Linked DNA regions of Mus musculus. The protein of the gene in region 1 interacts with the protein of each later gene in a biochemical or structural test. Links are inferred from orthologs where the notes say so. Each region holds a gene or a part of one and is shown on either strand. Other genes may lie near its edges.

The links. The genes of interacting proteins can lie anywhere in the genome.
Region 2: the proteins of Rps6ka1 (region 1) and Arhgef12 interact in a test that uses a peptide from one of them, tested with the Homo sapiens proteins (2 studies listed by BioGRID and IntAct, with this or other methods). The link is inferred for Mus musculus from reciprocal best matches to the Homo sapiens genes RPS6KA1 and ARHGEF12.

The regions. Positions count from the first base shown.
Region 1 is NC_000070.6:133,883,331-133,890,829, reverse strand, and holds the start of Rps6ka1 (ribosomal protein S6 kinase alpha-1), read left to right. Parts: upstream 1-3,032; 5' UTR 3,033-3,197; coding exon 3,198-3,260; intron 3,261-7,331; exon of another isoform or gene 7,332-7,431; intron 7,432-7,499. UniProt on the Homo sapiens protein: Serine/threonine-protein kinase that acts downstream of ERK (MAPK1/ERK2 and MAPK3/ERK1) signaling and mediates mitogenic and stress-induced activation of the transcription factors CREB1, ETV1/ER81 and NR4A1/NUR77, regulates translation through RPS6 and EIF4B phosphorylation, and mediates cellular proliferation, survival, and differentiation by modulating mTOR signaling and repressing pro-apoptotic function of BAD and DAPK1.
Region 2 is NC_000075.6:43,100,783-43,108,267, reverse strand, and holds the start of Arhgef12 (rho guanine nucleotide exchange factor 12), read left to right. Parts: upstream 1-2,549; 5' UTR 2,550-3,057; coding exon 3,058-3,089; intron 3,090-7,485. UniProt on the Homo sapiens protein: May play a role in the regulation of RhoA GTPase by guanine nucleotide-binding alpha-12 (GNA12) and alpha-13 (GNA13). Acts as guanine nucleotide exchange factor (GEF) for RhoA GTPase and may act as GTPase-activating protein (GAP) for GNA12 and GNA13.

The DNA of each region.
Region 1 (7,499 bases):
TCATTATGGATGGCTATGAACCATCATGTGGTTGCTGGGATTTGAACTCAGGACCTCTAGAAGAGCAGTCAGTGCTCTTAACCACTGAGCCATCTCTCCAGCCCCGAGGTGGGGTCTTCTGTAGTGGAGAACTCAGTAAGAAGCTCAGGATCCTTCTGCCTTCCACCTCACAGGAGCTGCAATTACAGGCATAGATCATCACATCTGGCTGTATTTAGATTTATTTTCTTTTTCTAGGATACAGTCTCACTATATAACCCAGGATGATCTGCCCCAGACTCAAGTGCTCTCACCTTAGCCTCCTGAATGCTGGAATTCCAGGCTTGTTGCCACCATGCTGAGAGGGCCTGGTGTGCTATTCATAACTCTAAATTATATATAGGGTTACAATGACTTTAGTCCTAACTGCAGACCTAAAAGATTGAAGTTATAATTCCCAATTTTCAGATAAAGAAGCTGAACTTAAAGACAGGAGTTGTTGGCCGGGCGTGGTGGCGCATGCCTTTGATCCCAGCACTCGGGAGGCAGAGGCAGGTGGATTTCTGAGTTCGAGGCCAGCCTGGTCTACAGAGTGAGTTCCAGGACAGCCGGGGCTATACAGAGAAACCCTGTCTTGAAAAACAAAAACAAAAAACAAAACAAAAACAAAAAAACCAAAACAAACAAAAAAGACAGGAGTTGTCCAATGCTTAAAGAGAGGGCAGGTCTGGAATTCAAATCTATGGGGTTTTTTGGATTCCAAAGTCTTTTCTACTCAAAATGCAGTTCAAGTCATCCATTCCACTAAAGGGGAGACTCGGGATAAGGGGGCATGTAGATTTTCGAGAAATTGGTGTCGACTTCATTGTGTATGTGTGTGCACGTGTGTCTGTATGCATGTGTCTGTACATATATGTGCATGTACATATACACATGTGTGCATGTGTCTTTGTGCCTGTGCATGTATGCATATGTGCATGTAAATGTGTGTTATATGTGCATGTGTCTGTGTACACGTCTGCATGCATATGTGCATGTCTGTGTGCATGTGAGTGTATGCATGTGTGCACATGTCTGTGTGCATGTGTCTGCATGTATGTATGCATGTGTCTGTGTGTATGTGAGTGTATGCATGTGTGCACATGTCTGTGTGCATGTGTCTGCATGTATGTATGCATGTGTCTGTGTGTATGTGAGTGTATGCATGTGTGCACATGTCTGTGTGCATGTGTCTGCATGTATGTATGCATGTGTCTGTGCATGTGAGTGTATGCATGTGTGCACATGTCTGTGTGCATGTGTCTGCATGTATGTATGCATGTGTCTGTGGTACCTGTGCATGAGGATGTCTGAACATGTGCATGTGAGTGACCATGTATGTCTAGGCTACAGGTTTATCTTTTTATTGTGTGAGTCTCTCTTTGAACCTGGAACTCACCTATTTGGCTTGCCTGGCTGACCAATGAGATCCTGTGTCAGTAGCCTCCGCAGTGAGATTATAAATGCTTACTGGGAAAACAGCATCTGTTTTTATTTCTTTTTTGATTTAATTTAATTTTTGATTTTTAGACAACATCTCTATTATGCAGTCCACACTGGCCTCAAAGTCACAATCCTCTGGCCTGAATCTCCTGGATTAAATTTATTTCTATTTATTCATTTATTTATTTACTTAGTTGGGTTTTTGGGGTTTGGGGGGTTTGTTTGTTTTGTTTTGATACAGGTTCTTACTGTGTAGCCCTGGCTGGCCTAGAATTGGCTAAGTAGCCCAAGCTAGCCCTGAACAGAGATCCTCCTGCCTCTGCCTCCCTACTGCTAGGATTAGAGGCGTGAGTGACTTCTCTCCACTTAAAAATGTACTGCATTAAAATGTCTTTATCGGGGAAGGTTGTCCCTGTGCACATTTGTGGAGGTCAAAGGACTGCTTATGAGTTGGTTCTCTTCCACCACATGGGGCCTGGGGATCAGACTCAGGGAAGGCAAGCTCTTTTACCCATTGAGTCCATCCACGGACCCACCCCACACTCTTTTAAACACCAGTGTGCTCCTGACCTGCTGTGTGACTTCGGATAAATAGCTTAGGGTGTCTACTAGGATGGGGTGGAGTCTCAAAAAAAAAATCACAAGCTGCCTGAAGGTGGAGGTCGGAGATACTCAACACGACCTGGCCGGCAAAGCCTGGGTTCCATGGCCATAACCAAGCAAGGAAACGTAACAAAAAATAAATTCCCTATCAATGACGCCTGTCTTCGCTGGAGGCTTTTAATAAACGAGCCAGCTTGTCTTTCACCTGAGAGTAAGTCTCACGACACCTGGGGCCTAAAATCTCCTTAAGAGCAGGCCAAATCTTACTGGAGAGAATCCTGATCCCACCAGAACTGGATTTTGCCTTCTTTCCAGGGACTCCTGCTCAAGTCAGACCACAATCTGGTCTGCCACGGAAGAGGCGCGGACCTGGCCTGAAACCAGCGCCCTCAAGTGATAGGGCACAACAGACTAGGAAGGAGAAAAAAAAATGCGTATTAGGAAATCACCCTGGGGGCGCTGTGGGTCCTGGCGCTGGCTGGCTTGGGACCCGGGGATCACATGGAGACCCCAAAGTGTGGGCTCCCGTGATGTGCACAAGCTTTCGGAAGGGGGCGATCCTAAGGGCTTGGAGAGCTGAGAGCCAGAGGGCACAAGGCCCAGGCTCCTTCCACGCCTCAGTCGGGATCAGGCCCAGGACGTCCCATGTAAATGTGGGGTGGCAGCCCCTCCCCCTGGAGGGAGAAGGCACATCTGGGTTAACATCCCAAAGGCTGCTAGGACAGGACAACGGAGGCCCCAGCGAGGTCTGCAAAGCGGCACAAAGCCCGGGAAAACGGAACCCGCGGAGCCTCCGGTGGGCAGGGCCGACAGTGGGCTGGGGTCTCTCGTGAAGGCAAGGCTGACTCCCGGCGCGTTGGGGGCGGGGGTCCGCGCCGGGAATGCCGCGCCGTGGGGGGACTGGGCGGGGCTACTCAGGCCCCGCCCCCGCGCAGGTAGCCAATGGGCGCGGCGGCGCCGGGTGACGGAGCGAGCCGAAGTGCGAGTGCCGCGGCGGCGGCGGACGGCCCATCCAGAGCGCGAGGGGCTCAGGGGCGTGCGGGGGTCTCGGTGTAGCAGCAGGGACCCCGTGGCCCAGAGGCAGCGCTGCCCGGGGCCGCCGGGAGGAGCGCGGGCGGTCCGGCAGCGGCGCGATGCCGCTCGCCCAGCTCAAGGAGCCCTGGCCGCTCATGGAGCTGGTGCCGCTGGACCCGGAGGTGAGTGAGAGGGGCGGGGGTTGGGGGGACAGGCGGCGGCGGCCGGCCAGCCCGGATCCGCACCGGGGCGGGGCGGGGGCGGCCCGCGGCGTCTCTGCAGCCCCGCGGGGACGTGAGTGCCCTCCGGTCTCTAGCTCACTGTCCGGCTCCACCCCCTTGTGCTCCGGGTGTGCGTGTGTAGGGGATGGTTCTGCTGGGCTCTCAGTACCTCCCTGCAGTAGCCAGGAGAGGAATCTCCACGGTGTGTTGAGATCTGACACCTAGGACCCATCCCGCTTATCATCTTTTAGTAGCTGTGGGAGTTGCCCCAATCAGTGCAGAAGGGAGAAAGGCTTGGGTCAGATGTCTAGGCTTCTACTAGAGACAAGGATCATGGGAATCCGGTTTCTCACCTTAACCTCTCCCCAAGACCTCTCTTCGTTCCTCCACTTCTGACCTTAGGAAGGTAGCCCTGCTGAATCCCAGGCAGTTATGGAACGTGGGACGATACCACCTCTGGAGTTGGAGCCTGCTTTCCTTTGCCCTAAAGCTAATGACACCGGGTCTTCCTACTTCAGATTATGCTGAAGAGTGGGGAAAGTCCTTAGATCTTGTGAAGACTGTCTCTGTAGAAGAGACTCTGCCTCCGTCTTCCTCTCTCCCTCCTTCCTTTCCTGTAGAAAAAGGCTGAGCCCTTGGGCAGTATGGCTTCTGCCACCTAGCCTTTCCCAGAAGCAACTCCTGTCTTTTTTGAGGGCTTTGTGGTCCAACCCTGAGCATGCAGGAGGCCACTTCTGTGCTGTCCTGTCACCCTGGGATCAAGGTCAAGTTTTGAACCAGCAACTTTAAAACTTTCCCTGCTCTCCTGCTGCGAAGGAGGCAGGTGAAACTCTGCCTTCCTTCACTGGAGCTGTTTTGGGGTACAGGAGGCTGGGGTACAGGAGACCTCACTTGATCCCAGAACCTAGATGCTTTTTCTCCTGGCTTGAACCCCTTTACCTATGCTTGGTACCTCAGGTCAGTCACTGTGAGCCCTGTCTCTCAGGACCACGGGCAGAGAGAGGATCCACAGTGAGATCCCCAAGTCTCCAGGCACTCAGGGCATGCTGCCCCTTTAAAGGGATGGGCTACACTGGCTATTGGAGGGTGGGCGCGGCTGGATTAGGTAACCAACCTGAAGGCGCAATTTGGAGTAAATTGTTCTGGGATCCTTGCCACGGGGGTTTTACAGGCCCTACACAGGCGCTCAGAGGCTGTCTGGCTGACTCACCCTCCTAGGTGAGGAGCACTGCTCTCTGCAGCCCCTGGTGCTCCCCCCACACTCCCCAGGACTGGGGCACAAGGCCCCAGGGAAGGCTCAGAGGTGTACTCCTTGGCTTGGGCACGCCCCTGCCACCTGGGCCTCCAGAGGAAGGGAGGCCTGACCTCGGTATGGCTAGGGAGGGACTCAGCCTAGGGACTCACAGCTTTACCCTAGCGCGGAGAGTAGAGTTCTAGGAGTGCTGGCCTCCTCCAGGGCAGCACTTCCTGCTTCCCTTTGGGAAATCCTGAGGCCAGAGGCAGCCTCATGGGGGCCAGGTTAAACCGGAAACATCTTAGTTTGAATACTGTTGCACCTGAATTCAGGCGAGGGGAGACTGTCACATTTCCTGGGATGGGGGAGAGGAGTTTTTTCATTGAGTTTCACTTCAGAAATGTTGTGTGGCCCTAAGTCCATCTTCAAGCTGTCTGGGCCTCTCCTTCCAGCACCACAGATGAGTTTCTAGCTCTACTTCCTGGGCCTGACAAGGTGCAAAACCCTGGGTCCTGCTGCCTGGGTCCCCTCCCCCAGGCCATGGAGGTGCCTGTGGACTGGGTGTTATTGTTTGGGTAACCAGAGCTGTGGGGCAGTGAGGGTGTGCATGCTCACTTGAGAACAGGGCCCTGCTGTTCTTCGTGCAGATGACACGTAAGTGATACAGTGCCTAGCCTGCAGGTACTGGCGCCATTGTGGCCAGGAAGAAGGCAGGTAAGGGGGCTGGCAAGGGCATTTGGCAGAAGAGGTCTGGGATCTGAATTGCCCTGTCTTCCCATTGCTGTCACCAGAAGTGGGCTGCTGGCAGGCAGGGCCCAGGTGGACTAAACCAACTGGACGTAGGGGTGAGGATGTTACCTGGGCTTTTTTTGGTTCTGCTGAAAGCAGCAGAGCTTTGTCTCCAGCTGCTACTTATTGATGTCATGCAACTTTAAAAAAGATGACCCCCCCTCCCATTTTCAAATGGGAAGGCAGGACTCAGGGATGCTGGCGTGTGCATTAATATCAGGACTAGAACCCAGTGCTGTCACTGTTTCCCTCCAAGCAAGAGAGACTCAAAGATGAGTGTGGGGTGGGTTTCAACTGGCACAGGTGGCAGGTAGGCAGAGAGCAGCTCCGGATGTTGGCACACACTTCTCAGGCCTCAGGGCCTTTGTCCAGCCTTGGCTGAGGGCTAGCAGTGTCCTGGCACTTGGCCCCCAGGCTCCAACAGTGCAACAGGGCTGCCAGGGCTGGGCTCAGAACCCAGTTCCTGGGGCTGCTTCCTGCCTGCAGGGCACGTGCTGTCTTTCCCCATCTGTTCTGCTCCCAGCTTTTCCAGAAGCTGCTCTGGACCCTTAGGTAGAAAGCAACATGTCTGTTAGGACCCGACTCTAACTCCTGGAAGGGGTACAGGGCACTAGGGGTTCTGAGCAGATGTCCATCTTCATGAGCTGTCCTCCTGAACAAGAGAGGAGAATAGAGTGCTCCAAGAGGCCAGGGGGACTTCCCTGTCTCAGGCTTTTCTCCCTGGTTCCAGGGTCTGGTCTTCATGTCATTTGTCTCTCCCTTCCTTTTTCCTCGCCTTCCCTCCCCTCCCTCCTTCCATCCAACCAGGGCCTTATGTGTACTACGCAGGTACTCTACCTCTGAGTTAAATCTCCCCCTAGGCCTTTTTAAAAGTCAGTTTCCCCAGGGGCCAGAAGAGGGCATTGGATCCCCACCACCCCTCCAAGCTTCAGTTACAGGCAGTTATGAGCTGTTCAACATGGGTGCCGGGATTTGAACTCATGTCCTCTGGAAGAGCAACAAGTGCCATTTACCATTGAGTCATCTCTCCAGCACCCCTTAGGCTTTTTAGACAGACTTCTTTCAGTCTCCTAGGTCATAGAGTGCAGCTCCTGACATGATAGACATGGAGACATGGGGCAGAGGAAGAAACCAAGACGCTGAAAAGGGATGTGACAGCTCTCACTCAGAGCCACTTGTGCCGGTGGCTTTGTGGTTACACAGCTGTGTTCTTCCCGCTGTCCCACATGCCAGACCAAGAGGGCAGGTGATCTCTGCCATCCTGTCTGTCCCTCCTGTCCTCTATGGAGGATGGGTCACTTTTCTAGAGATCCCGAGAAATGGGTCCATGGGGTAGGATCCGAACTAAACAAGGCTTGGTGGCAGAGGTCCCTGAATTACCTAAAAACAACTTGACACCTCTTGCTATGCCTTCTTTCCTTCGTCAGGGATTTAGGCTCGCAAACACATGACTTTGAGTCATGGACCCATGGCTGCCACCTGCTAGCTGTGGTGAGCCCTTTTGCTGAACCTCAGCTAAAAAATACGGTAACAAGAACCTACTCTGGCTGGGCAGTGGTGGCACACGCCTTTAATCCCAGCACTTGGGAGGCAGAGGCAGGTGGATTTCTGAGTTCGAGGCCAACCTGGTCTACAGAGTGAGTTCCAGGACAGCCAGGGCTACACAGAGAAACCCTGTCTCGAAAAGGAACCTTCTTTGGCTTCCTTGTTGTCTTTGCTGGGTTGACCTTTCACCTTTCATTTGTCAAACTGTATGTTTGACCCTGGCTCAGAACTAAGGCGCTGATGAAAGACACGAGTCCTGCCCCCTCCTGAGTTTAGGTGTCTGCTCAGTGCTGGGACCGCAGAGGACAGAGGGAAGAATTAGGGGCTGGGTGGGCAGAGGAGTTAAAGTTTGAACGGAGCCTCAGTAGAAAGGGCTTCTTGTTAGGGTAAGCCACCGTATAAATGCTCAGTCACATGGGACAGGTCTACTCAGTCTCAGATCACTTCAGCGGAAGCCCCAAAGAGCACCCAGGAGAGCTTGCTAAAACTGGAATGATCCACGGAAGATTAGCATGGTCTCTGGGTGAGGATGGCATGCTAATTCACGAAGCGGCCCATTGTTAAGATATTGTTAGTAGTTATTTTTGTGTGTATTTACACATGATGGGTGCACATGGGCACTCATATGTGTG
Region 2 (7,485 bases), on another chromosome or scaffold:
TGCTGGGAGTAAAGGTGGAAGCTACCATAACCAGCTAGACAGTGGATTTCTGATGCTTACAACAGTCCTGGGTACAGCAGGCCCTTCATAAGCACATTGAAGCAGTGAATAAGAGGATAAATGTGGCCTCGAGGATGTTCCACTGGAAACTGCATGTCCAGGGATTGGGTCACTGGTGCCACTTTCCTAGGTAAAGGGCTATGTGTGACCTAGGGAAGGGACCTTGGTTTGCTTGGCTCTACTGAAGGCATTCCATAGGTAGACTCTTAGTGGTGAAGTTATAATGAGCCTTTTGTCAGGATATTAAAAAATAAAATCAGAGCCTTGTGAGTGATTAGAGATTTTCATCATTGAAACAGTAGTTATTCAGTCCTCTGCTGACCATCTTCTGAAAGCTTTCCCACAGCAAAATGCCGCCTTTGCTCACAGCTAGAACGCTGGGGCTGTAAAATTTGGAAAGATGTTGAAAACAGCTTGCCAAAAGGTTTTGTATGCAAGGAAGAGAAGGTGAACTAGGAAGTGTTCCCAGTTTGTCTCACCCCTGAAGCTCAAGCATTGAGGCAGGCTGGAAAGGAAGACGGGAACTTATTTTTAAAATTCATGATTTGATGAGTCATCAGACCCCCCCCCCCCATTCGCTTGATACTTGCATTGTGACATTAGTAGGACAAGGGAGAAGAGGACAGCACACTCAAGAAAACTCGAGTAAGCTTGGGGAGAAGGTTCACATCTCGTTTATAGTGATGGATGTTTGGAACTCTTTCCAACGATAGGTAGAAACAAGTTGGAGTCTTCAGGCTAGAATTGCCATGTTGGGATTTACCAGCAGATGGCAACGTGTCCAGGTCTGATCGTTAGGAAAGTGGCTTGGAACTCCAATCTGCTTCTATTCTTTCCAAAAATAAACATTACAAAATTAGCTGGCTGTGCCCCGAACTTAAAAAAAAAAAAATCTAGCGAGAGAGTCATTTCAGGCTTCTGTTTATCTTTTCCCCTTTGCCCCCCATTCTAACGTCACCTTGAGCTCATGCATCTATTCAGGGGTGATGATCCGATCGTTTCGCGAACTGTTGTGGAATGACTTAGAAACAGCATTATTAAGAGGTAATTATTTCCTTTCCACACCCACTGTTTATTAGATTTGATTTCCACAAAATGGCCGAAGTCTCTTCCCACCTACACGGATTGAAGCTCAGAAGAGACTGAAGATAATTGTATAAAAGGAATAGTCGCTTGATGTTTACAGGCAGAATTGGAGAACTATATTGTGTCGTGGTCCCTCATTTCCTCAGGGACAGATTTATTCAATCAGAAAACTACATGGTTAGCTGAATGTCTCTACCCCATCGAAAGAGAAACCAGAAAACATTTGGGAACTCTTCAAAGGGATCCCTCGTGCTGTGCTGTTTACCGGACAGATGTATTACTTCTTCCATCTCTTTTCACAACACGCTTATTAACTTGCTGTGGAAAGCACCATGCGTTCTCAATTTGGCAAACAATACAGTTCATTTTGCCAAGGCAAAACAGCCTAAAAGCAATATTTATATCAGGAACTCCTGGCTTAAGTGTGGGCCCAGATCCTTTCTCCACAGCCTCTTCTGGCCATCCCCCCACCCCTTTCCCCTCCGTGCTGTGGGACTAGGCCAGCAGGTGCCCCAGGTGATTGGCTCACCCCAAAACCTGTGTGTGTGTGTGTGTGTGTGTGTGTGTGTGTGCGCGCGCGCGCAGGTTTGCCTAACACTGTCGGGGGCCCGTGGACCTGGGCTCGCACGCAGTCATCAAAAGCATTTGACACCGGGAACGAATACATTCTCTTAAAGAATAAAAGTTTCCAGCCCGGGAGTTCCGAAGAACCTCTAAACGTGAACTCCTCGAGACTGTGGAATGGCTCCTCTGCTGTCCCGGGTGGATTGTACACTGTGGGCTGCACCTCGAGAGCATTCGAGGGGCAAGAAGGCAGCAGTGCCCGCTTCGCCACACAGAACTACTTTTTCGCTTCCCTCTATCCCCCGCGACAGCACTGAGCGGAAGTATCTGCTCAAGTTTGGAGAGTCCGGGAAGCGGAGGGATCCCGGGTGAAGCGGCTTCCCGAAGTCCCAGGGAGAAGGGCCCAAAAAAGTCGGCGGGGGAGGGGACGGCTCGGCGCGCTCCAGTCGCGCCGGGCCGAGGGGACAGAACCGGAACCGGAACCCGCGCGCGCGCCCGCCCGCAGCGGTCGCAAGGCTCGTCACCGCCGGCGGCCCCCTCCACCCTGGGCGCGCTCCCGCGAGTGCCCCTGAGACCGGGCGAACGGCCCTGCGCACCGAGCCTCCACCGCCACCGCCGCCGCCGCTGCTCGGGGGCCGGGCTTCCGGGCCGGGCCGAGACCTCCCGCTCCTCGCGGGAGCCGCCGCCTACCAGAGCGTCGGGGAGGAGCCGCCGTGCCACTGCGGAAGAAGCGCGGGGGCCTCCGAGGGATGGGGAGCTGCCCCGGGCGCTGAGACAGGGTCCCTGTCAGCGCGGCGGCCGGAGCCGGGTGGGGGCGGCGCGGAGCAGCTCAGGGCCCTCGGCCCGGGGACATGGGGCGGCGCGAGTCCGGCGCGGGACGGTGTGAGACGCGGCGGAGGCTGCGGCCACGAGTGGCCCGCAGCCCCAGATAGAGCGGGGACCCGAGGGCCGGGCCCCGCCGACTCGGGACCGAAGCCGACGCCCGTCCCTGAGCCGATCCTGCCCCAGCTCCGGAGGGATCCCGGTTCCCGTCCTACGGCTCGCGACTTCCCTCTGTGACGAAGTTTTCTCTCCGTGCCTTGCTGAGGATCGTTCTTAGTTCTTGAGCTCGCCTTGTGGCCGACTTGCTCGGTTTGTTTGGGGAGATAACTTGTTTTGCCTCAGCCCGCATCCCCTTTCCTTGACCCCTTGCAATCGGATGTTCTAGATGACTGAATGGAGTTTTGAGTTGGACTTTTGTGTCCCTGCCGAAATTGGGCCTGATCCCAGAGCACTGGGGGTGGGGTGTGGAGGTGTTACTGTAAAATGCAAGTTGGATAAAAAGAAGACCTCTCGCCAAGGGCCCCAATGAGTGGCACACAGTCTACTATCACGGACAGGTGGGTATGAAGTTCCTCGGTCGCTAACCTTCCCTGGATTCGGTCCCACGCAGCAGGGGAGTCGGTGATGCAGATTTGCCTTCAGCTAGTGCAATTGACAGGCATAGGAAAGAGGGTTGTTTCGGAGCTGTGCAATTAGTCTAGGGTTGCTGCCAAGTTAACCGGTTGATTGAATTTGGAAATGCAGGTTTTTTTGGGAGAGAAACTTTCCCCCATATTCTCAGAGGAAATGAAGGAAAACCATGATTGTGGTTTTCTGTCGGGTGCATTAAGATTGTGTACTCGTTTTGGAACCAGAGGGAGGTCATTTTGGGTGAAGGTCAGAGCTTGAGGTCGGTGGGTACTGGTGCATCATCGGGTGGATTCCTGTCCTGTGGTAGTTCTAGACTCACAATTTTAGGAGTTTCTGTCTGTGAACTTAATTTTCATCCTGCTGCATTGTGATTTGTGACTCTGATCTTTTTACGTGTTGACCTGCACAGTGTTTAATTATTAATTACCTAATTTTCCAGAATGTTGACATTACCAGTAAATCACGGGTTCTTGCTGGGGACAGTTTCCAGGAGCTAAAGGAAATGAGGGAAAAATCATGGGGCCTGCTTCTAATTATTCTTTTTTTTTTTTTTTTTTTTTTTAACATTTCATCTTTCAGAAGCCCTAGCATTTAAAGATGTAAACTCTAGCTCTGGTTTAGGCATGGCAGGTGGATCTTGTTTGTTAATCGGGTGACACGGTGTGGTGTGTAGAGTATGTAGTCCAAGTGTAGTTCTTAAAGAGGTCCTTTGAGTTCTTTTTAGTGAAAGCAAGTTGCTTCCTTTAGCATATTTTATTCCTCAACTAAATTATGACATTGCATGTTACTTCCAAATTTTATCTTGTTGTTTTTTTTTCTCAAATTGTTGTCATAAAACAAAACAAAACAAAGCAAAACAAAGTATTGAAGCAGAAGGCCAAAAGTCTTCAAGAGCAACATTAGTGCTCCAGCGGAAAGCAGTTTAGTTTCCTAATGAGAGAGTCTCACCCAATTGTGCGACTCATTTGTTGATTTTTAAAGGGGCCAAATTCCATTATCATACCATAACAGCTTCTCCAGAGACAGGGCTTCCCTTTCCTGTTGATGCTTTCCAGTGTCACATGAGTGTTCACCTAAAAGATGCCCTAAATATTTAAAGTACTTATGTTTATCCTTTGTTTGTCTGCTTTGCTAGGCAGGGTTTCATTTCGGTTTTCCTGCTAATACAATGTACTTCTATGTAGAGACAGTTGTCAGGGCTCTTCCTGTTACATCTACCATCCTGGTCCCTCTCCTGGCCTGACTCACAGGTGTCCAGATAATTGTGCTGCTGGTTCATTCAGTCCTTGCCTGTCAGTTGAGCCTAGAGTTAAGCAGACTTACCAGAAACTGGTGTAGCCCTGGTTTTCATTAAGATGTTGCAGAGTTTAATAATTTGTAGAAACAGAATTTAGAGTCACTGAATCGTTCCACACAAAAGTCACACAAAAGCACCCATGGAAGGATTTTTTTTTTCTTCCCCAGCTTTTTTTCCTCAGGGATTTTTGTTCTCTTTCTGGTATATAAACACATTGGACATAAACATTGAAATCTGAGTCTTTTTTAAAAAAATAACTTAATTCTTCTTATGAACCGTAAACATGTACAAAAATAAATCTTAAAAACCCCTGACTGCAGGTATGTGCACCTGGGATAGAAGAGGCTTTAGGATTTCATGGGAGCTTGTGAGCTGCCTACCCTGGGTGCTGGATATGTAACTTGGGTCCTCTGCCAGAACAAGAACAGTATGGGTGTGCTCCTAACTGTTGAGCCGTCTCTTAGCCCCCCACCCCCACCCCATTTTTCTTCTTGTATCTGGCTGTGTGTAGCATGGCAGTCCTCCCCCTGCCTAAGTCTCCTGAAGAGGTGGACTGCCTCCCTGCTGGATTCTTGCTCTTAGATATTTATGTGAGAACAGTGGATGCACATTCTGTGGAGTCAAGTGTTGTATCTGCCTCCCTTCCCCCAAGACAGGGTTTCTCTGTGTAGCCCTGGCTGTTCTATCTGTATGTAGGCTAGGCTGGCCTCAAACCCAGAGATCCTCTTGCCACTGCCTTCTGAGTGCTGGGATCAGAGGCGTGCACCACCACTGCCCCACCTTAAGTGTTTCATCTTTTTCTTATCTTTTTTTTAAAAAAAAATACTATTTATTTAATGTATATGACAGTCCACGGTAGCTGTCTTCAGACACACCAGAAGAGGGCATTGGATCCCATTACAGATGGTTGAAAGCCACTATGTGGTTGCTGGGAATTGAACTCAGGATCTCTGCAAGAGCAGTCAGTGCTCTTAACCACTGAGCCATCTCTCCAACCCAAGTGTTTCATCTTTTAACATAGAGGAAAAAGTTACATTGGTCAAGGGAAGCAGTCTAAATATGTTAATGCTTTGTGGGGCTTAGGCCTAAATAACTTCTCATCATAAACCTCTACTATGTTGCTTCAGACAACTGAGCCATGTAAAATAAGATCCTGGACTAAAACTAATTGAAATCCAGTTCTTTGTCAGGCACTGGAGTTTGGTGGCTCTCTTTTCCCCTTTAAAAAGAGAATTACTAGGTGACCACTACTTTTTTCTTCTTCTTTCCAAACGTACTTTGTAAATATGAAGCAGCCCTTTCTCTTTAAGAGGGTAGTAATTCCCGGTTTGAGTATATGTTGACGTGAGATCTGGAAGTACTGGTTTAATAGTACTTATGCCAGGTCTTCCTATAGACTGCAGCTTCTCCTCCGCCCTGTGTACATCCTTTCCCACTGACTTAGCAGGAGATAGATTCTTACCAATTCTAGGACTGTCGGCAAATTAATAATGCCAGTGCAGCTTTTCTGAGACCCTTTCAAGTTTGAAGTACTGTATGTGGTGTGGCTTTGTTCTGTGGAGTGTGCAGAGCCACCAGGGCAGCTGTATGAGTTGGAGTTCTTTCATTGTGGTGCTTCTGACTACAGAGTCTGTCTGTCCTCAGTGGAAATCAGACTAGCTGGTTTTGGGCGTTGTTCTGTTTTGCAGTTTGTGGCAGGCGACACATGGCTGAACAAGATAAGAAGGGTTTTATTCTTGTGTTAGGGACGTGCTGGGGCTGGGATGGAATTCAGTTCTCTGTTTAGGCTCTGATTGGTCACTTTGGATACTCAGAACTCTCTCACATCCTGTTATTATTTTGCAGTTAGAGTCACACATCCATTGGCTCCCCCTTTTCCTTTCTCTTACTTTTTTTTGGCTCGGGGTGGGGGGTTGGGGGGTGCTTTTTGAGACAGAATTTCTTTTAATAGCCCTGTCTACCTTGAACTCATTTTGTAGATCAGTTTGGCTGGAACTCACAAGAGATCTGCCTGCCTCTGCCTCCAGATTGCTGGCATTAAAGGCAAGCAGCTACCTGGCTAACACTGCTGTTTTTATGTAGTGTATCTGAAAAGCATTTTTTTTAAAGATTTATTTATTTTAATTAATTAATTAATTTTATTTATTTTATTTTAGTTTGGGTATTTTTACTTTGAGTATTTTATTTATTTTGAGTATTTTGCCTGCATGCAAAGATATGTGTACCACATGTATGCTTGGTGTGATGGTCTGGAACTGGAGTTAGAGACAGTTGTGAGCTGCCACATGGGTGCTGGGAATTGAATCTGGGTCCTTTAGAGGAGCAGCCACTTAACCACTTAATCACTGAGCCTGAAAGCTGAAAGCTTTTTTAAATTAAGGTTTTTTTTTTTGTTTTTGTTTTTGTTTGTTTTTTGTTTTTTGTTTTTTGTTTTTTCGAGACAGGGTTTCTCTGTATAGCCCTGGCTGTCCTGGAACTCACTTTGTAGACCAGGTTGGCCTCGAACTCAGAAATCTGCCTGCCTCTGCCTCCCGAGTGCTGGGATTAAAGGCGTGCGCCACCACACCCGGCTTAAATTAAATACTTATTTTATGGATGCTTTCTAGTTGCTTGCTTTGTAACTACTATGAAGTCAGAAGACTCAAAAAGTGATAAGAGTGTCTGATTGCTGTTTTCCCTCTGCATTAATGGGTCTATTTAGCCCTAAGACATCCTAATAATTTTTAGTGCTCTCTGGCTTGTTTCTATCCCCAGAGTGGCAGATACTGAGGTGATTGACATTTAAGAAGTAGATGGGAGAGGATGTTTTTTCAGTGGACCCAGTGAATGATTTCAGAGTAGATCCTGTTAACAGCAAGTGTTCAGGGTGGTGCAGTTGGGAGAGTCAGCAGGGTCTTCCTTGAGATGTGTGGACTTTGTTTTGTCTGGGGCTTACAGATCGTGCTGTTTTTGGTTTGTAGCTTGACACAAGTTTTTGATGTGTTGGAATTTACTCAGTACTGAATTTAGCTTTAAGCTGACTTTTA